Linked DNA regions of Elephas maximus indicus. The protein of the gene in region 2 purifies or fractionates together with the protein of the main gene of each other region. This does not show direct contact. Links are inferred from orthologs where the notes say so. Each region holds a gene or a part of one and is shown on either strand. Other genes may lie near its edges.

Region 1 (11,405 bases), on a different chromosome or scaffold from region 2:
TAAATCTCTGACAGCTGAGTTTGCCTGGACATGATCACATGACACCAAACGACCATGAACGTGTTGGTCCTCTGTCCTCCGTGTCCCCGGGTCTGGAGCTGGCCCTGGCTGCCCCCCCCAGCTTCAGGCCCCCGTGGCTGGAAGGATACCGGAGACAAGCGGTGCCTTCTTCCTCTTGCTGGGTGGCAGGGAGTCCCAGGTCCTGGAGCTGCCTCTGGCGTGCAGTTTCTCATCCCACCACTCTGTGCCCCAGAGGCAGGGTCAGGGTGCCAGCCCTCAAGGGTGCCCCCCACCCTCACTGCCTTTGTCCTCCCCTCCCCTGGGGCAAAGAACTCTGGGCTGAGCTGGGAAGCCTGAGTTCAGGTCCGGACTGCACAGCTGTGCACCATGGGAAAGGGCACTGCACTGCTGTGAGCCCCAGGTGCTTCCTTTGTTCAGCAGATGGGGGAGGGTGATGGGGGGGATGACAGGGTGATGATAACAGCTGCTGCCTCCTGAGGACTCCACAGTAGCCTCTTGGCAGAGCAACTGACATGAAGAAGGAACATAGGTGCTGTGGACACGGAGCGGACTGTGGTGACCATATGTGGGCGTACCGGCCCGCACCTCCCGTTCTGGGGAGAGAGCAGGGACAGGAGGGCATGGGGCCCACTCTGCCCAACCCCTCACTGCATGCCTGGCCCTGGGCTGGGCCCTTCCATGCCTGCTCTCAGTCAGTCCTCTTGGCGACCTCAAGGAGCAGGGCCAATGACTGCACCCATGTGCAGTCAGGGCAGCTACGTGCAGAGGAGTGCTGGGCACTGGCAGAGCGCCTCACCCGAGCTGATGTCCAGGCTCTGGCGGTCCTCTTCCAGCCTCTGGATCCGCTCCTGCAGCTCCCCCTGCAGGGTGTCGTACAGCAGCAGCTTCTCGCTCTGAAGGAGGCCGGAGCAGCTCAGTCGGGTGGGGCCCCTCAGGCCCTGCCCACACCCCTCTGCAGGCGCCCAGCCCCTCACCTCCAGGTGCTGCTTGGCTCCCTGCAGCTCACACTCATACTTATTCCTGATCACGTCCAGACAGAAGCCCTTGTAGATGCCTGTGGAAGAGGGAGAAGGGGGCCCCCCTAAGGCAGCGGTTGAGGTATCCGAGGAGGGCTGGGAGTACAGGGCAGGCAGGGATGAGGAGGGGGACACAAGGGGTGACTGGGGCCTGACCCCAGGACACGGGACAGCCCACACACCTGCCACCTGAATGCGAATCTTGAGGCTCCGTTGCAGCCCCCCCAGAGGCTCCGTGTACTCGGGGGCTCTCTCAGCTCCCACTTCCTCCAGCCGCCACCGCAGCTGGCTCAGTCGCTCCCTAAACAACCTGGGAGGTGAAAGGCAGCCCCAACTTGTCGGTCCGTTGTGCTCTTGGGCAGATACACGCAGGGCCCCAGCTCCGTGGCAGGCCCTGGTCAGGTGCTCACTCACTCTGGACCTCAGCCGCCCGCCAACACCCAGCCTACTGCCTCCTCCCCCAGGACCGTGAAGACCAGCCCTAGGTGTGCCCGCTCACTTCTCCTTCAGCTCCGAGAACTGCTTCTCCAGGTCTAGCATCTCACTGACGCACTCGCTGCGACGTCGCTCATAGTCCTCATCATCCATCTCTGGGGACAAGAGGCCAGTCAGGGCCTCTGACGAGGAGCGGGCGGGTACCACGTGTGCGTGCGCATTGGTGTGTACAAGTGTGTGTGCACATGTGTGTGTACACTCACCGGAGCTCTCCTCCTCAGACTCTGTCTGACTGCCACTCCGTTCCTCCTCACTCTCTTCCTCCTCCCCGTTCATCTCGGCCGCTGAGTCGCCCTCTGCTTCCATCTCTTCTGTGTCCTTGCTTGGGGGCTGGACGGGCATTTGTGCTCTGGGAGAACAGGTGGAGCCATCACTCAACACTGGCCATGGTACAGAGCTGAGTGGCCGAGCAGGGAGTCGAGCCCAGCCTGACCCTCAATTAGAGGGGACAGCAGGGAGGTGACTGTCCTCGCCACCCTGACGCATGCTGGGTGAAAGGGAGCAAATGGCTCCGGGTGCACATCTCCCCCAGGAGCGTGGGAGCCATGGAAACGCTCATGCCCTCTGACCCCGTTGGCGATCCCAATCCTGGGCGAACTGGCCAAGCACCAGTTCACAGAACGGGAAAGGCCAACGACACGAGGCGTTACCACCCAAACGTCCCACCCCCAGAAAAGGCTGGGTGGGCTGTGATGGCACTATGAGAGCAGGCATAGGGAGGTGGAAAACACTGCAGGTACAACAGTAAGTGTGGCCCTGAGGATCCACAGTTGCTCTGCCTGTGACCTCCCTGTGGAAGTGGTATGAGGACGAGGTAAGTTCTTCAAGAGGCCAGGAACCAGCAGGGCTCTGCGTGAGCGCTCTTTCCCTTTCAGAAGCCCCCGAGGGCTCCCCCTGCCTATGGGACTCGGCTTAAACTTCTAGTGGAGGCTTTCAAGGCCCTTCCCAGACTGGACTAAACCACCCACCCAGCTCCTTGGCCCCAACCATGCACTGGTGAGTCCTCAAAGACACCACGTTCTCCCTCCTCCTCTGCCCATCGTGCACTCCTCTTCTCTTCCTGATAGCTTTCTACATTTCTCTGTCTTCGTGCTCTGCTCAGTTATTTCCTTCTCCTTTGCAGAGATCTCCTCAAAGGCTGTATCTCAGCAGCCCCTTTGGTGACGCTGGGAGTTCCAGCATGTACCCCTTCTCACTCCACACTGTCTGCCTTGGTGTTTGCACCCTCTTCCATGGCCTGAACAACTCGCCCTGTGATGGTGACCAGATCTCTGTGCGGGCGATTTCACCGGGGCTTAGACCCAGGTCCCCTTCCCTCCCCCCATCCCTTCTCTCACTTCTCATTTTCTGCTTCCTCTGGGACCCCACATCATCAGTACTCCCCTCTCTTCTGTAGCTTCAACTCTCCTTGGCAGGCTCCTTCCCATGAAACCGTAGATGTGCTCAGGTGTTTTCCACCATTAAGAAAATGCGAAAACACAAACCAAACCTCACCCTATTCCGCTTCACTGCTTTCCACGCCACAGCTCCACTTTCAAGGCCTTGTATACACTTGCCCTTCCTGCTTCCTCACCTTCCATTTGCTCCCATCTGGTCCTGCACCCATCACTCTCTGCTGAAACGGATCCCACTGAGTTAACCGACAACCTCCTTGTGGCTACTGCCAGTATTTTTGGGGGCTATCTTAATTGATTTCTCAGCAACATCAGACACAGCCAAGCAGTCCTTGTATTCCCTCACTGAATATTTATTGAACACTTAATATATGCTAGGTGCTGCCAGGCACTATGGCAGGTACAGGGGAATTCCTGGGGCAGGCAGGCAGTATTTATCTCCAGGAACTTACACGTTCCTGGGAGAAGAGGCAAAGCAGCAGACCACTACCACGGTGCGAGAAGAGTTAAGCCTGGGGGCACAGGGGAGGGGCCTCTAAGACCAGGAGCTTGGGGCAGCAGTGAGGGCTGCCAGGGGAGACACAGCAGATGGATGAACTGACTAGCACAGGAGGGAACATTCCAGGTAGAGCGAGTAGCATGTGTAAGGATACAGAAATGAGAGAAGGGAGTGGGGGAGGGTTGGGGACCTGGGTCTAAGCCTCAGAGAGAAATCTGGGCCGTACAGAGATCTGGTCACTATCATAGAGTGAGTTGTTCAGGCCATGGGAGAAGGTATGGCACCAAAGCAGAAAGTGTGGAGAAGGGGTCCATGATGAAACTCCCAGGGTCACCAAAGGGCTGCTGAGGAGACTCCCGCAAAGGAGAAGGAAATTAGGGAGAGGCAGAAAAGAAAAACCCCAAAGCTATGGCCAGAGAACATTTTAGAAGAAGTGGCCAACAACAGTGTCTAATCCTGCCAAGAGAGCCCCTAAGGGGGGGATTTAACCACCCTTCCAGCAGAGAATCTCACTGCCTCCTGGGGGCTTCTACTTTACTAAGCTCCTCTTCTAGCTTCGCTGGCCACTGCTCTGCAGCCCTTTAGATTGGTGTAGACTCCACTCCCTCCACGAAGCCTTCTTTGCATCTCCCTTCTGTTTGCTCATTTTCCTTCTGTCTCCCCAGCCACTCTGTGTGCCTCCCCAGGGCAGGGGCTACAAACACATCTTAGTCAACTAGCCCAGTACTGGCTCCCTTGATAAAGGACTGGGAAATATAAGTAAACAAAACAAACTCTTGCAGGTCAAAGGTTGGTTTTTACTTCTTGGTAGCTTCAGGTCCTTGCAGTGAAATCAAACCCAAAGTGTCTGTTAACTCTGGTTGACACCTATTCAAGTTGTGGCAAATGCCTGGCCTAGGGGAGAGTTTAGTCACATTCCTCAATGATTTCACCATGGATTCGAACCTGAAAACCTTAGCAGACATGAAGGTTCATTCCTCCACTTCTCGGGTCTCCAAACCAGCCTCTCATCTTTCCCACTTCCAAGTCTCACTGCGCCACCAGGGCTCTTTCAGTTCCTGCAGTTCCCTCCATCTGCAATTCCTCTTCACCGTAAGTCTCAGCCTAAGTCCTACAGCTTCCAGAAGGCTTTCCGGATCAGAAAAAGAGGGGGTGTGTGTATGTGTGTCTCCTCCAGCTAACTCTAATTTTACTGAGCAGTAAATTAAGTCACAACTTCCTCTTCTTACGTGTGTGCAAAACGGGGATAACCGTTCCTGCTCTGACTGTTGTAAAGCTGGCAAGGGTTAAGGGATGGAAAAGCAAACTGAGAAGTGCGGTGGGCATGCCATCTATCTTCTCCGACTCTGAACTCCAGGAAGGCAGCCTCCCTGGAAGGCGGGCCCCTCCCCACTTTGGCCCCTTTCGCCGCGCCCAGGAGGCTCGGCCTCGTCTCATCTCCGGTTGCACCGGCGCGGGCGGGAGAATCGCGGGCTCCCCCGCAGCCGGCTTCGGCCCCGCGGCCCCGCGGCCCCGCACGCGTCCAGCCCGTTAAGTCTCCGCTTCTGCCCCGAGAAGAAGGTTGGGCAGGACGCGCCCGACTAGCCCAGAGAGACCCAACCAGCGGCTGGGGGGGGCGATACGCACCGCGGGGGGGGGCTCCCTGGCCTCAAGTCCGGGTCTCCCTGAGAGGCGCCCAAGGGTGCCGGTACCTGCCGCGGCGCCAGGCTCCCGGAAGCGCTGCGCAGGTCCCTCTTTTCAGGGAGGCGGGGCCTCGCCGCGCTTCCGTGTGCGTCATCTCGGGGCGCCCGCCGGAGAGCTCACAATTGGATGGCTGGGGAGAGGCATGCTGGGATACCGCGGGCCGGTCTCCATGGCAACCGGTGGAGGTTCCCATTAGGCTTCGGCCTGCGGCAAAGGCCCCCGTGGTTTCCTCGCTTCGCTGCCCACGCCCTTCGGTGCGCAGCAACCGCCCCCGGCGTCCAAGGGCTGAAACCAGGGCCCCCCTCCCTCCAGCTTCGGAGAGAAACGGAACCAGCTGTGGGTGTGAACACTCATTTATTTACACGTTGTCATCAGTAGGCAAATACCCAGCACCAGCCTATTCGAGGGTACAGATTTTTTCGGATTATCGCCATCAAGCCTTCAGACCCTTCCCTCCTTCAGAGCCCCCAAGGGTGGAGGCGCTGGAGTTGTTAAGGCTTCTGCCCAAAAGCTAAGAACCAAATTCCACACCTTCATCTGATTTCTTTCCAGAAAGCCCCAGTCGTTAAGTACCCCCATGTCTCTGAACTTTCAACCCTGTCCCATTCACATTTTTTGCTTTCCTACCACTCACACACCCCCGGTTGTTAATAACAATAGTGATAACAACAATAATAATACTGTAATAATATTAATAATACTTCACATTTGTACGAAGCTTACAGAATGTTTTCATAGACAGCTCATCTGAGCCTCCCAACAGTTCTGTGAGGTAGGCATTCTCACCTCCCTTTTTACAGACAGAGTAACTGAGGCTCAGAGAGGTAAAGGGATTTGCTCAAGGCCACACAGCTAGTTAGTGGTAAAGCTAGGACTTGATCCTAGCACCCCATATTCAAGTCCAGTGTTGCAACACCACAGCTCCCTCTGCAAAGTGGAGTGACGTTTCTTACCCCAGTCAGGCCTAAGGGGCGGCCCGAGGAGTCAGGAGGCTGAAACTTCTCAGACCGGGGGAAGGAAGGGCTCAGCAGCGGCGTGGGGAGTTGGGGTACTTGGTCTTCAACTCCTGTCTGAACTGGCGGTACAGGACCTTATTGCGCTGATTTTCAGCCTCCTTTTGGGGATGGAACTTCAAAGCTTCCTTGAAGCCCTTATGAACTAAGAAACCTTCGTTCAAAACCTCGAAATTGAACCCTGCCATGTGCAGCTCACAGGCCTGTGGAGTGAGAGACAGGTCAGCAAAGTGAGAGACGTTCCTGGGGCCCAGATCGACACCCCTAAAGCCAGACTCTAGCACCCCAACCTTCTGGAAGCATCTGGATTTTCCACACCACCCAACCATTTCCTGACCTGGGATCTTACCCGGCCTCCCTGCCTCAGTTCCACACTGGGCCACTCCTCGTATCTCCCTGACCTACTCCCCTCGCCCATCCCTTTTCCCCCCTCCTCCCCTCCACCTCCTCCGTCTCCCCCTCCCCAACCCCCCCTCCCCTGCCTTCCCCTTATGGGCACCTGACTGATGCGATTGAAGCCGTACTGCCGAAAGCGCTCGTCAAAGGGGGGCACCTTGCCTCCAGCCACATAGAATGGCTCCCAGGGGTCCTGCCAGGGCACCACGTAGGAAGGCCTCAGCAGGCTCTCTTCTGGCAAGTTGACCCAGCGGGAGTAGTTGGTGGGCGCCTGGCAGGGCGTGCACAGCCCATAATAGAAGGGGCGCACCTCGCCCACCTGGTAGAGCTGCACCAGCTCCGTCTTACTGACCGGCATGCGGCGGGCTCGACGGATCTCGAAGGCAGGCACCACCAGCGCCGTGCCCGCCCACTGTCTGCTCTGATCCAGCAGCTCCCGTAGGCCTCTCCACAGCCCCTCGCTGGGCACCATGTCCACGTCGATCACCAGAGCGTAGTTGGCCCCCTCGCGAGCCAGATTTCTCAGCAGGTTATTGGGGTAGGAGACGTTGGTGCCCAGCGCGTAATTGATCCCGGGTTGGGCCACCCTGGCTAGCTTGTCAAAGACCTCCTGGCAGGAGCGCAGAAGGGCAAACTCCCCGGGCTCCCGGGGATCGGGCACGGCGGCCTCGTAGCGCGAGGGACACACCAGGTGCATGGCGACCCTGGAGCGCATGTCGGGGCAGTGGCTGCTCAGCGCATAAGCCAGCACCGTGGCCAGCTGCGCCTCCTCCTTGGTGGCCGCGAACACCGACACAGACATAGGGCCCTCCCAGCGCTCCAGGAGGCCGGACAGGTGCAGCAGGTTGTCCACGCTGGCGTGCGTGGCCAGGATCACATCGTTGGGATCCATGGTGGTCTTCAGCAGGCTCCTGTAGATGCGGTAGTCACCGCTGGCGTCCAGGACGCCTCCCGAAGCCAGCGCGGTGCGGAGCTGCGCCTTGACCTGGTCCACGGACCTCGGGGACGGGGGGAAGAACTCGAAATACTGGTCTTGTTCCTCCTGTCCGTGCAGCCCAGACAGCAGCGACAGGTAGAGCAGCTGCAGCATCGCCACGAGCATGAGGGCGGCCAGAAGCAGCTGGTAGAAGGCGCACCGGATGGCGTAGGGCATCTGCATGGCTCTCGGGGCTCAGAGTGCGTAGCAGGGACCACCGACCGCAGCGTCTGCCGGCCGCGGGGAGCCGGGATTTACTGCAGCGTGCCGAGCGCAGCCGAGGCGAACCGAGTCCAGCCGAGCCTGGCAGCCCCGCCCACCGCCCACAGCCGGGCCTCGGCCGCGCGCCCGCCCCGGAGACGGAGGAGGAGCCACCGCGTCCGCGCGCTTTGCAAACTGAGTCTTCCTGATCGCGGTGCCACTGCTGCCGCCCCTGCCGCTCCGGCCGCCCCACCGCCTCCCGGCCCGCCAGGGGTCCTCCGGGACACGCGCCCCCTCACTCCCCACCGTGCGCGACCCCTGAACCCAGCGCGTCCTGAAACCTCGATGGGCTCGCCCCCGAGTCAGGGAGGGGAAACCGTGGCAGAGTTCTGCAGCAGCTTGGTGAGGGATGGCCCGGATTCCCGGCTGCGGCGGGCGGAAAGGAAAAAAAAAAACAAAAAAAAACGTTTATTTCTGCCGTGTCTCCTTATCGTAGATAGCCTAAGGGGTCTACGCTGGAGAATGGGTAGAAGGGACTCGGAGAACGCGGAGAAGAAGGGTGATAAGAGAATGTGGAGAGAGCCACACTGTAGGGGACGAGGTGGCCGAGTGGTTAAGGCGATGGACTGCTAATCCATTGTGCTTTGCACGCGTGGGTTCGAATCCCATCCTCGTCGGTCGCGTTTTACGAAAGACGTGATTCTTAATTTTCTACATCTTACCAGTCTAAAGCAGGAAGTTGAAAAGAGTTGAGCTGCGCTTGGCGCTACCCTGGGGCTCCCTCTCCTCTTTGTTGGCCGGCCGTGCGTCTCCCACTTCTGCTCCCGCGTCTGCCCACTCCAGGTCTCTGAACCTACTGGGGAGCGGTCAAAGGTGTGATTTTTTTTCTCTCTAGAAAGAGGTTCCGGAAGTTGGTGGCACTTAGAAGAACAGAACCAGGATTCTGGCCGATGCTAACTTGAGGCTCAGTGTGTTATCTGCAGGAATTGGAGAAGTTCCCTCCTGTCTGAAGGAGTGGAAGTTTGCTAGGAAGGATATTTGATCATTTAAATTATTACTCTATGTCGCCTACTGATTCCGCCTACTCCTCCGTCTCCTCTCCCTTCTCCCAGAAATCCTATAATAAACGTTTGTGGATTCATTGATACATGGAATCTTTAGAAGAGAAGAGGCTGTGGGGAAGGGTCTGACCTGAAAGGCCAAATCGATTATGTAAATAATTATGTACTAGACACATGGCCTTTGCGGCCCGAGCCAGGGCTCCCATATAGGACAAAGGGCTGTGAATCTTCAGAAGGTGCATTGGAACAGACGGGGGAGGGCCTGAAATATCAGTACGAGGTGTTTGCCAGCTATTCCACAGGCAGCAGGGAGTCAGTGAAGATTGTCGAGATGAGGAGTGGCCAGGAGACCTATATTCTGCAGCCCAGTGAGATAATACCTACTTGACATCTGCTCCCTGCCAGGGGCTGTGTTAGGCACCTGAGATGGGACAGCTCCTGTCCTTGAGAGTTTTCACTGGTACCTGTGGCAAGAGAGAGGAGAAAGGTGAGCACAGATCTTGCCAGCACAGGCCTTGCACACTGGAGATTCAGGGGCTGGATGTGGTGCCCATATGGGTTTTCTTTGGCCTGATCAGTGTTTAAAAATAACAGTTTGAATCACATTAGTTGTTAACTTTCGGGAGTCAGAAGATTTCACGGAAAATGCACATTTCCAACTTCTGGATTTAAAATCCTGGAAGATCTGGCAATGCCAGGCCTGCAGTTCTGCAAGGTGACAATTGTCCAGAGCTCCACCTTTGTAAACAGTCTTTTCCTTACCAAATTCTCAAGCCTGGCACTTCCCTGTCTGCCTGGACCCTTGAGCATTTGTGTTTCATGGTAGCACTCAATACCCATTTACTGCCTTGATGGATAAGATTTTCCCAGGCATCCCCCCTCTCGATTAGCAAAGGAGCACTTAGCTGTAGGACCACCAGGGGTAGAAGACAGTTTCCCAGACACTTGACTTTCACCAAGGTGAAGGATAATGAGCTGAGGTTTCCTGAGCCGCCCCCCGCCCAAAAAAAACAAAAACCAAACACATTGCTGTTGAGTCGATTCCAACTCATAGTGAACCTATAGGACAGGGTAGAGCTGTCCCATAGGATTTCCAAGGCTGTAATCTTCACGGAAGCAGACTGCCACATCTTCCTCCCTCGGAGCAGCTGGTGGGTTCAGACTGCCAATCTTTTGATTAGCAGCTGAGGGCTTAACCACTGCACCACCAGGGCGCCTTCGTGATTTCCTGAGATCCTATTATATGCCTGCCCAGGTCAAGGGCTTTGTTGTTCTTAGGTGTCTTCGAGTCAGTCTCAACTCGTGACCTCACAGTGGACCTACCTGTCTTAGTTATCTGGTGCTGCTATAACAGAAATACCACAAATGGGTGGCTTTAAGAAACAAAAATTTATTTCTCACAGTTTAGGAGGCTAGAAGTCCAAATTCAGGGTGCCGGCTGTTGGGGAAGGCCTTCTCTCTCTGTCACCTCCGGTGGAAGGTCCTTGTCTCTTTTCAGCCTCTGCTCCACAGTTGCTTGTTGTTCTTGTGATGTGACATCTATCTTCCCACCTCTACTTGCTGTCTTCTGTGCCTAATCTGTTTCTTTCATATGCCAAAAATGATTGGCTTAAGAAACACCCTAAAAATGGTATGACCCCATTAACATAACAAAGAAACCCTACTGTCAAATGAGATTACATCCCCTGGGATGTTGTTGTTGGATGTCATCCAGTAGATTTTCGACTCATAGTGACCTTGTGTGACAGAGTAGAAGTGTCCCAGAGGGTTTTCTTGGTTGTAAGCCTTTATGGAGCAGATCACCAGGCCTTTTTCCTGGGCAGCCACTGGGTGAGTTTGAACCACCAACCTTTGGGTTAGCAGCAGAGTGCTTAACCGTTGCATCACCAGGGCTCCTTTCCACATGGATTCCAACACACGTTTTTGGAGGACACAATTCAACCCTTAACACTGCCCCATGCTCTTCTCCCTCCTCCCATAATGCTGTCTTCCTCCTCAATCTCTCTACATGCAACATGGCCCTCATAGCCTGGCTCTGGAGCTCCTAACCCTCTAAAACCTTCAGAACCACCTCAGTCTGGAGGGAGTCCTCTGTCTTCAAGTGGGGGAAGGACTGAATTCTCGTCTGAACCAAACAAGTTAATGCTTGACTTCCCTTAAGACACCCTGGGGTCTCTGGAGAGACTTTTCTTGGCAGCAGGGCAGGCAGAGTATGGGCTCTGAAGTTGGAATCTGACTTTGCATGGACTTAAGCAGGATAAGTAGTCTCTCTCCTTCTTTCTCTCTTTTTGTTTTATAATATCTTTTTTAAAAATTTGAGGTAAAATTCACATAGCATGAAATTGTTTTTGTTGGTGTTAGGTGCCATTAAGTTGGTTCTGACTCACTGCGACCCTATGTACACCAGAACAGGCTGCACCGAAGGCATGGACAGAGAACAAGGGTCCAGGAATTGACGGAATACCAACTGAGATGTTTCAACAAATAGATACAACACTGGAGGTGCTCACTCATCTGTGCCAAGAAATGTGGAAGACAGCTACCTGGCCAAATGACTGGAAGAGATCTATATTTGTGCCCATCCCAAAGAAAGGTGTTCTAGTCGAATGCAGAAATTATTGAAGAATATCAATTTCACACCCAAGTAAAA
Region 2 (11,466 bases):
TTCATTACTATATCCCCAGCAGTTAGCAAGCTTCAATGCATATTATAAGCACCTATAATGTTTGCTGAATGAATGAAGAAACTATTGAAAACTTATAATCTGTAAGGATTATGTAAACGCTTAAAACTGCCTTTACTGCTCTTTACCGACAAGTCATAAAAGGTTCTGATTTGTCACCAAGTACATCAAAAAACAGTATCAAGCTCTACTGCCTATATGCAAGGAAAATAAAACCAGAACTCTTTTATCCTTTGTAAAGTACACCAGAATAATAACCATAGTATGTAATTCACTTACAAACAAATGCTCTTTTCTACTACAGCTCCTGCCAGATATACAGAGTAAGCAACCATAATAGAGCAATTACCCAAATAAGAAAATTCAAATTCTAGGTAATACATGTATTATAAGACCTCCTCCAACAATCGTAGTATTGATTTAAAATTAAAAAATGAATAAACATTAAGAAACACAATACTAACAAAAAGTTATAAGCTTCAAATAATCCCGAATACTTAGTAAACAAATCCTGTATAGCTAACATAGTAAAAAGGCTATATAAAAATGCTCTGTAAGAGTAAAAAGAAATCACAGGAAAAAAATGAATGCCATGTGACATCTTAACCCTGAAAGAAGTTTCATAAGCAGACCAAAGTTTAAACAGAAATTTTATACTAATCATAGATAAATCTATTTATCTACCACACAAATCACACTCCTCTAGTTCATTCACTCACTTGACAAATTCTGAATGCCCACTATGTACCAGGTACTGCTCTACTGGGCATACAGCAAGTCAGACATTTCCTCCTTTCACAGCACTTCTTTCCGGCAGGAAATCATCAAATGTGTTAAGTGGGAAAAGCAAACTGCAAAACTCCAAGTAATCCAGTAATAATAATAATAACTTTATGAGAGCCATGGTAAAAAATCTGGAGGACCAAGCCAAATCTATTGGGAGTGGTAGAAAGGAGGACTTTCATAAGCTATATTACATAGCTTCGTAGCGTTAAAAATGTTTATAATAAGCATTGCTTACTTCTATAAGTTACATAACAAAGATTACTTAATATATATTTATATATGAAAATTATCATAAATAAGCACAATAATGTTTACGATAATATTTCTGAGACATAAACTATGGATGTTATTCCTGTTCTTTTTCCATATTTCTGAATCTTTTACAGGGAGAATGTGTTAACTTTTCTCTAGTCATAGACTAGACTTGATTCATTTTTGACAATCTTTTGAAAACAATTTCCACTGTCTTGTTTTTCCTAACCACTGAAATCGTCTCTACCTAAACATCAAACAGGAGAAAACAAGACTATAAGTAAGTACACTGCCATGAATAGGGAAGATCTAAATACTAGGAAGTATGGGCAGGGTATTTTGGTAAAAACATTTTGAAATAATCTCTCATTTTGAGTTCTTTATTTCTCAAGTCATAATGTGCCTTTTCTAAAGTTCAGTACATAACAGTGCATTTACACAGTAATAATTCAATAAATAAAATATGTTGATTCGTAGTCTCCCCCTCCTCAACTCTCTTCAGTCCAGAGTTAATAAAACTGTTACATTAAAAAAAAAAAAAAGATTACCTTAACTTTTACCAGCCTCTTCACAGTCTTAATCTTTGCCTCACAGAAGGCACCTCGGTACTTGGCACTGACATCAGTTCCCACTGTCAGGTAGGCAGGCTCATCCGCCGCCTGATGAAAGGATCATAAAATTTAAAAATAAAAATAAAAATTTTTCCTACTTCAGCTTCAAGACTCGTTTAAAGGTTCTGTATTTAAAATGAAAGGAATGCTAAAATTATTTGCTTATTAATATCATTAATAATTAGAAAAATACCCTTAAAGCCAACATTTTATTAAATAGCTCTTTATACACTGGATGTCCTTATCTAATAGAAGATGTTTTATAGTTGTAATCACAAAGTATCAGTAAGAAAATACAATAATTTTTTATAGATATAAAATGGTTCAACAGTTCTACAATTTATATAAAATACAGAAAAACAATAAAAAAGAGGAAAACTATATTCATTTGACATTTCCCATAAAATTTTAAACCATTCATTTATGGTCTCCTCAAAATGTTGTCTTCAAATTAAAAGAAATATTGCTATTAAAATTAATACTAACAATATGCAATTAAAGGTTTATTAACATAGCTACATAAAGCCTGTACCTTAGATACAGTGTAACTATACATATAAGAAATGAAGACAACCATCCTGACAAGGAGATTATTATTCGGAAAATTTTTTGGTTGAAAGGGGCATATAAAAAGTTTAAGTCTAAATACAGCTAATGAACGCAGAGATGGGAACTGATGTCTCAAGACTGTAGCCCTACCTAGCTTACAGAACTGGTAATCCTGGTATAAAAAACGAGCTTCGCTAAGAAATGTCTAATGGCCATGATTAGAATGATACATTGAACGATGCAAGAAATTTTATTTTACCATTAATTTTGATCTTGACAATAATAAAATGATTGCTATCTCAATCTGTCATTTTGCCTATTTTTTCCTAAAGCTAAGTTCCAAATTCAACATTGCTGAGTGCAAAGGTAACAGTGTACACTTTAGAGACAGATTAAGTTTAAAAAATAAAAAAAGGCTTTTTATTTTTCCTAGTAACATTAAAGAAGGTTAGATGTGTCACTTAGTGCAAGAAGATAGGAAAGAAAAAGAAAGTTTTGGAAAATGCCACATACACGTTTCAGAGCTTAATACACTGAAACAGTAAACGAGTCGGGAATCTGGTACCTTTTAAAGGTAATGGATTTACAAAGAATGCAAAATGAAGAGGAATGCTTTCCACAAAAAAATACCCAAACTGAAACATTGAGTGCCACAGCGCTCCAGAATGTTAGGATACCTTCCCCTTTAAATATCATATGCTGATGTTTGCAAGATTAGTTGTCTTCCGAAGAATTTTTTTTTTTAGGTTGGATATATTTAAAAAAAAAATTTACTATGAAAATTGGAGTAAAACTATTATTAGTTTTAGTACAACTTAAATATTTTAGCCCGGAATTTCGCTATATCCCCAGAAGACATATACCCCTTACTCAATCCCCATATTCTTTCTCTTAGCAAATTGCATTGGCACAGAAGAAAAAAAATTTTCAAAAAATCCCCCAAAGCACCAAAGCAGGACAAAAGCTTTACTTCTGCGACGGTTGCTGCCAACACAGGAAGTGTTTAAAAATACTAGCCCAATGGACAATTGAAAGGTTGCACCAGCCTTTCCAAAGCGCTAACTGCTTCAGAAAGGGGCTGAACCGTCTGCATTTAGATACACTGATCATTTCTCAGCCATTCAACACGTCCTCATTTTCATTAAGTGCTGCTTAGTAATCAATTTTGAGAACCAAAAAAAATGACATTCCACGGCAGGAGCCTCACGACAGGCAGTGGCCAGGGACATCTCGAGATCCAGAGTAGCACTGATTCTACTTACCTTCATTTTTATTGGTGATCTGTGGGGTTCCAGCTCAACGAGCTATCTTCACTGTCGCTAGAATCATGGGGAGGGGAAAGACAGGCACAGAGTCAGCCAAAAGCGGGGAGCGACCCAGGGAAAGAAAGTAAACAAACGCCAGCGGGGAGGGGCAGAAGCCTCACCAGCAAAGGGATAAGATCCCCTCGGAGGGCGGCCAGGACGCAGGGGCAGAGGGGCAGCAAGAACCCTCGAGGCGCCAAAGGGCAGCCCGTTCCGCCCCGGAGTTCGTCAGCGGCCCACCGCGCCCCCGCCTCGCTCGCCACTTTGACTGGGAATGCTGAACTCGGAGCCCCGGGACGGGTCGCGCTGGAGAAGGGCAGTGCGCGTTTCGGGTTCCCACAGCCCACCAGACGGAAGGTCGCCGAGCCTTTTCTCAGCCGCCCCCCGGATACTCTCGACTTAGGCCCGCGACCCGCCTCCGCCGCTCGGGCCCCTCGGCCCGCCCCGGGCCCGCGGTGGAGGCAACGGAGTGTCACGGCGCCATTGCTCTCCTTCCTTCACTCTGCACCATGTCAGGAAACCGAAGCGCTTCTTCACCCCGAAGTGGCAGGGGCCGCGGCCTTCAGCCCGAAGCCCGGAGAGGTGAGAGGAGATACGCGAGGGGGAGGGGGCTCGGGGGGCGGAGAGGAGGAGGGGAGGTGGCCGGGACAGGGTGTGGGAGGGGAGGGGAGCCGCACAGCGGCAGCCACCGCCTCCTCCCCGCGCCCGCCTCAACTTTTTGTACAGCTCGAGAGAGGCACCAGCCCCCAGCCCCTCCGGTCCTGCCACGGACACTACGGGAGAGGACGCACCGTGGAGCTGGAGGCCGGCTCCCCGGAGCAACCCGCTCCTCACCGCGCGGAAGCAAACTTAGCGGCGCGGCCAGCCCCACAGCCATTTTCCCGGGGAACACGGGGAGGCGGTCGAGGAGGCGGCTGCAGCGGCAGTTCCTGCAGTTGCTGCCACTGCTCCACGACTTGCCCCTTCCCCTGTGCTCGCTGCGCCGCTTGCCTGGCACCCCCCTCCAACGCCTCCAAAGCTTCCAACTGCACCGGGACCCCGGGCAGGAGCACCAGCTGCTACTGCTTCCTCCATTCAGTATCCTTCGCTTCCCTTCTCCCCACCTACCGAGTGCGGGTGAAGTGCGCGCTGTCAGCTCCCCAGTGCTCTGCCCCCACTGGCCCCCCGCGGGCCCCGGTCCGGGCAGCACCTCTACCGGCCGCGGCAGCAGTTCCTGCGCCCGGTCCCCCACTCGCCCGATTTACTGCCACAATCCACCAAATAACAAGCTGTTGAGCAGACTCGCTCCTACACGAACTCCTATTGGCTGCTCATGACGCCGAAGAGCTTCGGATTGGAGCTCGCTAGCTGCCGTCCTCATTGGATGTAGCTCTGAAACTTCACGGATTGGTGCGAAAAACAGCAGGTAGGACATCGTCCACTTATGATTGGCCATCTTCGAAGGCCAGTGCTATTGGAAGGTAAGGTATTGAGTAAGCAAGTCCTGAGAAATGATTGGTAAAAACGACTCCGGATGTGCTTGACTGAGCACTGATTGGTGAATTGAGGGGTCAGGAAGAGCAGTTCGGCACGAGGATTGGCGCCGAAGTGTCCCATGGAAACAGAACCTGGAGCAGCGGCCAGGGGCTCGCAAGGGGGCGGGGCAGAGTCTTTCTAAGGCGCCTGCGCTAAGGCGGCTTCTCGGCGCCATTTTGTCTCGGCAGCGGTGGCCACAGCTCTATCGCATTTTATGTTTCTGGCGAGAAGGGATTGGAGCGTCTATCCGGTAGGTTCATTTTAGTGCGGGACCTATTTACCGTTCCCTCCAGGACACCACTCAGTGAATAGCGGAAGAGTCACGGACCCTTCAAAAAGGTCAGTTGGAGGCTATGGTAGCCTGCCTGACTGGGGAATGGCGCAGCTTTAGCGGCACCGGAAGTGGAGGGGCCACACGACAGCCATGGCAAAGTAAATTCTCTCTGCCTCGGGGCGGGGGGGGGGGGCGGTGGGAGGAAAGGGGGCGAGGCTTACTCGCCGCGCGACAGATGAAGAGGCGGAGGAGACGAGCGCGTCGCTTTCTGGGTGGTGATCTCAAGAGTTGGGAAGGTTTTCTTGAGTTTGCTATTGTCCCAGCAGTCCTTCCTCAGTTTAGAATAGACATATTCTCCAGCTGAGCGTCACTGGCTGTGGGGGCCACCTTAAGACGGGAAAGGAATGGTTCTTACTCAGACACATCCTACGTGGGGAGAGGGTTTTCCGCGTGCTCCTCGCGTGACAAAGCTGTGAGGAAACTGAGGAATGCTCTGGGTATCCAAATGCTGAGGAATTTGCTTGCCAGCACTGACGCTGCTTCTGTGACCTTGGACAAGTGGCTAAGCTACACTGCACAAGGCTCGAGCTACTTTTTGAAAGGAAACAGTAATGATTTTGTAGGGTCTTGAAATACATTCGGACCTCGCTGATAAGAATAGTTAAGGGCAGCTATTGGTATTCTTTTAGCAAACTCCTCTGTTGAGTGAAACAAAAACTTACAGATTTTAAGTGGTGGCATTAGAGTATTCATTAAGAAGTACTTTTAAAGACTCAGATAATAAAAAATGTGAGATATTTTCGATAATCCACGTGGACTGATTTTACTCAATAAGGGAATTTAAACCTGAACCTTTTTATTCATAGCAGTGATTTTTCAGAAGATTATTTATTACGTGAAATGTATGTCAGTATTTTCTGTTGAGTGACTGGCCACACTTACCTGGATACCAAAACCCAAACCAAACCCAGTGCTGTCGAGTGATTCTGACTCATAGCGATCCTAGAGGACCGAGTAGAACTGCCCCATAGAGTTTCCAAGATGCATATCTTATAATTATCCTCATAATACCAGTGTTTTAAACCCTATTGTTTTGTTGGTGGGGCTCAAGACTAAAAAATGGTTGAGTGACTTAATTTATTACTGTTTCTTTTTGGCAGTTGTGTTGAGGAAAGTATAGGACATCTCAATGACAAATATCCAGATATTACTGAGGTGAGTCCTGATACCTGTAAAAATTTTTAGAATTGGGGAGACCCACATGGAAAAGTTTTCTGTGAACCACTAGAGGAGAGCCATGAATGATAGTATGGAAGAATAGTAGTTGAAAGATATTTTGTTTGGCAGAGGGTTCATATGAGCTGCCTGATGTGATAGTTTAGGATGAAATTGAAAAATTAGGAAATTAGGTCAGCCTTATATGTTTCTTTACCCATTCAGGTAGTTCTCATCTCTGGATTTTTAAGTATTTAATATTTTTATCATGAAACACTGAACATTTTCATGATTTTTTTCTCCTGTGTAAAAACTTAGCATATGAAGACAATCTTGTCAGTAAGTATTTAGAAGTGATTTTCTTATTTTTTAAGGAAATGCTAAAGCAATATAATGCTTCTGAATTTCCCAGGGGGTAATCACCTATAATTCCACTGCCCAACTTTAAATTATTATCTAATATAAATAATGCAGGTGAGTAGGCTTTTGGAAATTATAAAAAGCCCAAGGAAGAAAACCATCTCTTATATTCTCTCTACCAAAAGGTAATCACGTTTTATGCTGTACTTATGGAGGGATTCTGGTTTGTTTTGTTTCACAGTCTGGTTGTGTATTTTGCCACTCATGTTTTTTCTCTTTATGGAAAACATTGGGCACATTGGAAATATTGTCCAACTGTATAGGCTAGATAATTTATAAAACCTGTCTTAATTTTACTGAAGAGCAGTAACGTGTCACTGAGCGTTCTTGTATATGTTTTGCAAAATATTTTACCTAATGATTGACATCACTGACTAAAATTTCTAGTCATCTAGATCTTCCTTCACATCCCTAATTATTTCTTTGGAATAAATTCCTAGAAGTGGAAATATAAGACCAAAGGGATTATACATTTAAGGCTTTTGATACTTGTATAATTGTCTATCAGAAAGCTTTTACTTCTGCTGCAATTATGTTTTTTATCCTGCTTCTTTTTACTGCTTTTTCCCCCAAGTTTCTATTTTTCTATTTTTGTTTTTTTAGAGAGTCAAAATTTAATAGAGCACAAGCAGAAATATAAAACATTATAGGTAGAAAAATAAATCCAGTACAAGTATCCCTGAGAATCATAAAGGTTGGCATTCTGTACAGCGTTGTGCTGACCACTTTTTACTTGAGGTTGTCGTTCAGATCTGCAGTCTGAAAGGATTTTGCAGTTTCTCGGTTTGTATTCCTTATTTTAAATATTTCTGTTTCTCATAATTAAAATTTGGTACCAGATCAGTTACTGTCGAGTTGATTCTGACACACGGCAATCTCAGGTGTGTCAGGAGCTTTCACTCCTGAATCTGTTTATTCATGACTCACCATCAAATGGAATTATTACAATCATGAAGTTACATGTAAATTTGAGAATTTTTTTTAGGCCTTAGGAGTGATTTTTTTTCCCCTCGTTTTTGGTTTTTAATTGAACTTTGGATGGTTTACAGAACAAACTAGCTTCTCATCAGTACACGTTATTTTATGTCATTGGTTAGGAATGTTTTTTGAACTGTTTTTTCTGTTAGGTGCTTCTGAAGTGGATCTTTAGGATAGTTGAACATTCGTACAGTGAAACATTTTGCTACAACAGAAGTGGTATTTGGAATATACTAAGAACAAACAGATTGCTCTTATGGTATGGTTAGTTGAGTTTAATTACTTTATGTTTCTGGGTACCCCTGTCTAAAGTTCCACATTCTTAGGTGGATTCCCTCAGCGCTTTTGTACCCTCATTGGACCATTTACACGCCTCTTCTGATCACACATTAATTGGAATCGTTTAACTCTTTCCCCCTTTGAGAGTGCTCCCAGAGGGCAGCAACTATTTTCATCGTTATGTTCCCTTACTTGTTAGGTGCTCTGTAAGTATTTCTTATCAGTCTATGCATATTTGTATGCAAAATATGTAAGATAAACTAGTATTTCTTTATAGAAATTTTCTTCTGAGAATTAACGATACTGCACAAGTGCTTTCGTAACCTTCAGATTTTCTTTTTTAACATTCCAAATACTTGATTTAATGCTGAATTGCGTTTCAACTGCTAATAAAATGTAGAACCCATTAAAAATGTATCAAAGTAGTAGTTACTTGAAATGTTTTGTAATTTCTCGATCCTTTTTTTTTTTAAAGGATTTTATGATATTTTATTGGGAAGTACTTGCACATGAATATTAACAGAACGGCTAGTTGTTGTTGGCTGCCGTCAAGTTGATTCTAACTCACGGCAACCCTATGTATGCGCATTAGACCTGCTCCGTAGGATTTTCGAGCCTGTGACCTTTTGGAAGCAGATTGTCAGGCTTGTCTCCCAAGGCACCTCACGTGGGTTCAAACTGCGAACCTTTTGGCTAGTAGTCAGGTGTCACCCAGGGACTCCTGAACAGTGAATTAGACCATGGTATAAATGAAAGAAAATAAAGTATGATAGAATTATTTTTATGTAACGTATTTGAATGAGCTGAAACTGAGAATATGTGTTCTTAAAGTTTCCTAATGATTTTACAGGTGATTTTAAATTTTTCCTACAAAATCAAAATTGTCATTTTTTAATAATGCTTCTATTATATAAACCTATTTTGAAATCAGACTCCAGAGTTCTGTGTTTTGCAGTGTGGACTGTAACATACTCTAAAAGAAGTCTTTGTCTTTTAGAACAAGCCTGGTTTTTGTGAAAAAATGAAGCTCGGATTTCCAGTTTTAAAGACTTAGATCTGCTATGCGTGTTGAAAATTCTGTTCCTGGTATGTAATCTTATTTAACTATCCCCGTGCTGTTATCATATATATGTAACTCTTGTGAAAAAGAATTTTTTTTCACTGTGCAGTTATTTCTGTAAACTTCAGTATATTGTTGAGAAGCCGAACTGATGACTATTGAATGTAGCTGCTTTTCTAATGATTTAGTTATATTTTGGGAAATTACATGATTGTAACCAAAGGAAACTTTGTGGCCAAATGGGTTTGATGTTTAAGATTTAATAATGGCTAATAAAGATCAATAGATTTGTCAAAGTACAGTACGGAGTCAGATCTAGAGATTTTTAAAAGACAAATTCCTGTAGAAGGCAGAACAAATCATCATCTTTAGTAGTGAAGGTTCTTTGAGGTTAGTGAGATGCGATCTAGAAAATTAGATGAAAAGAAGGCATTCGAATTGAATGGAAGATGGTGGGCAGAAATGGGATTGTGTAAGGCAACGTGGGTCCAGGACAGTGTAAGTCAGTTTGGAGATGATGATTGGCTGAAAATTAGGTTGAGAAGGTTGTGAGGCCAACCTGTCCACATTTACAGGGTTACCTGCAACATCAGAATCATTTGGGCTACTTGTTCTCTATACAGGTTTGGGAACCTCTAGAAGGCTTTGAAAGCTGGATTATGAGAAGAAATTGAAGATTTTCTGTTTTATTTTCAGACTTCACAAATAATAATGGAATTTTAAAAAACAAAAAAAATCACCTTTAACTCTGTAAAGTTCTTTTTTTCCTTACCTGTATGCATGTTCTTTTTTAAGTCTTAATTTTCTTTTTTTTGCTGTTCATTTAACATTGTAACAAGCATTCAATGTGACTGCATAGTCTGTGTCAGTCTATTTTATTCAGTTTCTAATCCTTCAGTACTGTGCTACAATTATCTATGTGCATAAGTATTTTCTATGATTTGGACTGTTTTCTTAGGATCAACTTAAGGGTCACTACATGAACTTTTTATGACTTAAAGCATTGCCATTTTGTTTTTGAAAAGGGTTACAATAATTTACACTGTCACCCGCACTGTGATTTTAGTTTGCCACACCCTCAGCAGCATCACATAGTCTGTTATCATTTTTAATAATTTAATAGGTACAAAAAAATGTTGACCTTCCCCCTTTGTCAACTAGTGAGATGGAACTTTTTTGCTGTGGTTTCACTAACTGATTTTTGTACGTTGTGTATTTTTTCTGTCCGGTTATTTATTAGAGTCTTAATGTTTTATTCTGTAATTGTTCTATTATATAATACTTAGTAGTAATTTGCTGTAGGTATTTTTCCATGTAGATTTCCTTTCAATTTTAGTTTTGTTGAGTTTTTTTTAATAGACACAGGGATATGATATACACAAGATTTATTATTGGAAAATTATTTGGTAACAGTGTCCAGTATGGCTAAAGGGGAGACAAGACGCTCTTGCATTGGTGTCAGCGTGAGGTGAAATTAGAGTAGGACCTGGAGGCAGGGGAAAGAATAGGTCAGCAAGAAAAGAAAAAAAAAAAAGAGCTAACTAGATTTGATGGATCTCTGACTGAATTTAGGGATAAAGAAGACAAAAAAAAAAAAAATACTGTTAAGATTTTCAGAATAGGGAACAGACAGTACCATTAGCTGGTTTGGAAAGTCAGGAGAGACCACGGGTTGGTGAGGAAGATAAAATTGGTTTTAAACATGGAAGCTAGAGTTTTAAATCTCCAGTAGTAAGCTTCTGTTCTGCTTTTCTCAAATTATTTATGGGGCCTCTAACTGGGGGCAGGATATTATGCTCTACCTTATATTGTTTTCATATTTTGTTTTAATTCCATTCTTAGATGCTTTTATCAGAGCTTTTTTATTTCCGATTTTTAAAGTACAACTTTTATTAAGAAAAGTTAAAGTGGATTAATAAATTGTACAGAAAAGCCAGATGATTCTCAAACTAAATTAAGGAGAGGTTAGTTTTTCAATATTGAGAAAATACTGTAGTTTTAAGAGAGCATCTTACAAAACATATGCATGTTTTAAAACTGTTAAAACTTGCGGGGTGAAATATATTCCCTCTTCTTGAGTGGACTACTTTTTATGTGTTTAGTTTTTGTTGGATTTTAGAAGAATATAAAGAGTAACAGATGTATGTTTGTGGGCCGTAAATGTTTTAGCTAGGATACTTTAATATCTGAAATCTAAGTAAAGCT

The links.
Region 1: the proteins of ARID4A (region 2) and BRMS1 purify together in Homo sapiens (affinity purification with western blotting; 3 studies listed by BioGRID and IntAct, with this or other methods). This does not show direct contact. The link is inferred for Elephas maximus indicus from reciprocal best matches to the Homo sapiens genes ARID4A and BRMS1.

Annotation. Positions count from the first base shown.
Region 1 is NC_064825.1:129,487,000-129,498,404, forward strand, and holds the start of BRMS1 (breast cancer metastasis-suppressor 1), read right to left. Parts: upstream 5,181-11,405; 5' UTR 5,052-5,180; intron 1,882-5,051; 5' UTR 1,875-1,881; coding exon 1,736-1,874; intron 1,628-1,735; coding exon 1,537-1,627; intron 1,348-1,536; coding exon 1,220-1,347; intron 1,076-1,219; coding exon 996-1,075; intron 915-995; coding exon 818-914; intron 243-817; coding exon 150-242; intron 1-149. Other genes in the region: B4GAT1 (beta-1,4-glucuronyltransferase 1), read right to left, coding at 6,133-6,324, 6,621-7,676. UniProt on the Homo sapiens protein: Transcriptional repressor. Down-regulates transcription activation by NF-kappa-B by promoting the deacetylation of RELA at 'Lys-310'. Promotes HDAC1 binding to promoter regions.
Region 2 is NC_064828.1:70,641,641-70,653,106, reverse strand, and holds the start of ARID4A (AT-rich interactive domain-containing protein 4A), read right to left. Parts: upstream 4,722-11,466; 5' UTR 4,628-4,721; intron 3,735-4,627; exon of another isoform or gene 3,643-3,734; intron 3,536-3,642; 5' UTR 3,485-3,535; coding exon 3,479-3,484; intron 1,716-3,478; coding exon 1,605-1,715; intron 1-1,604.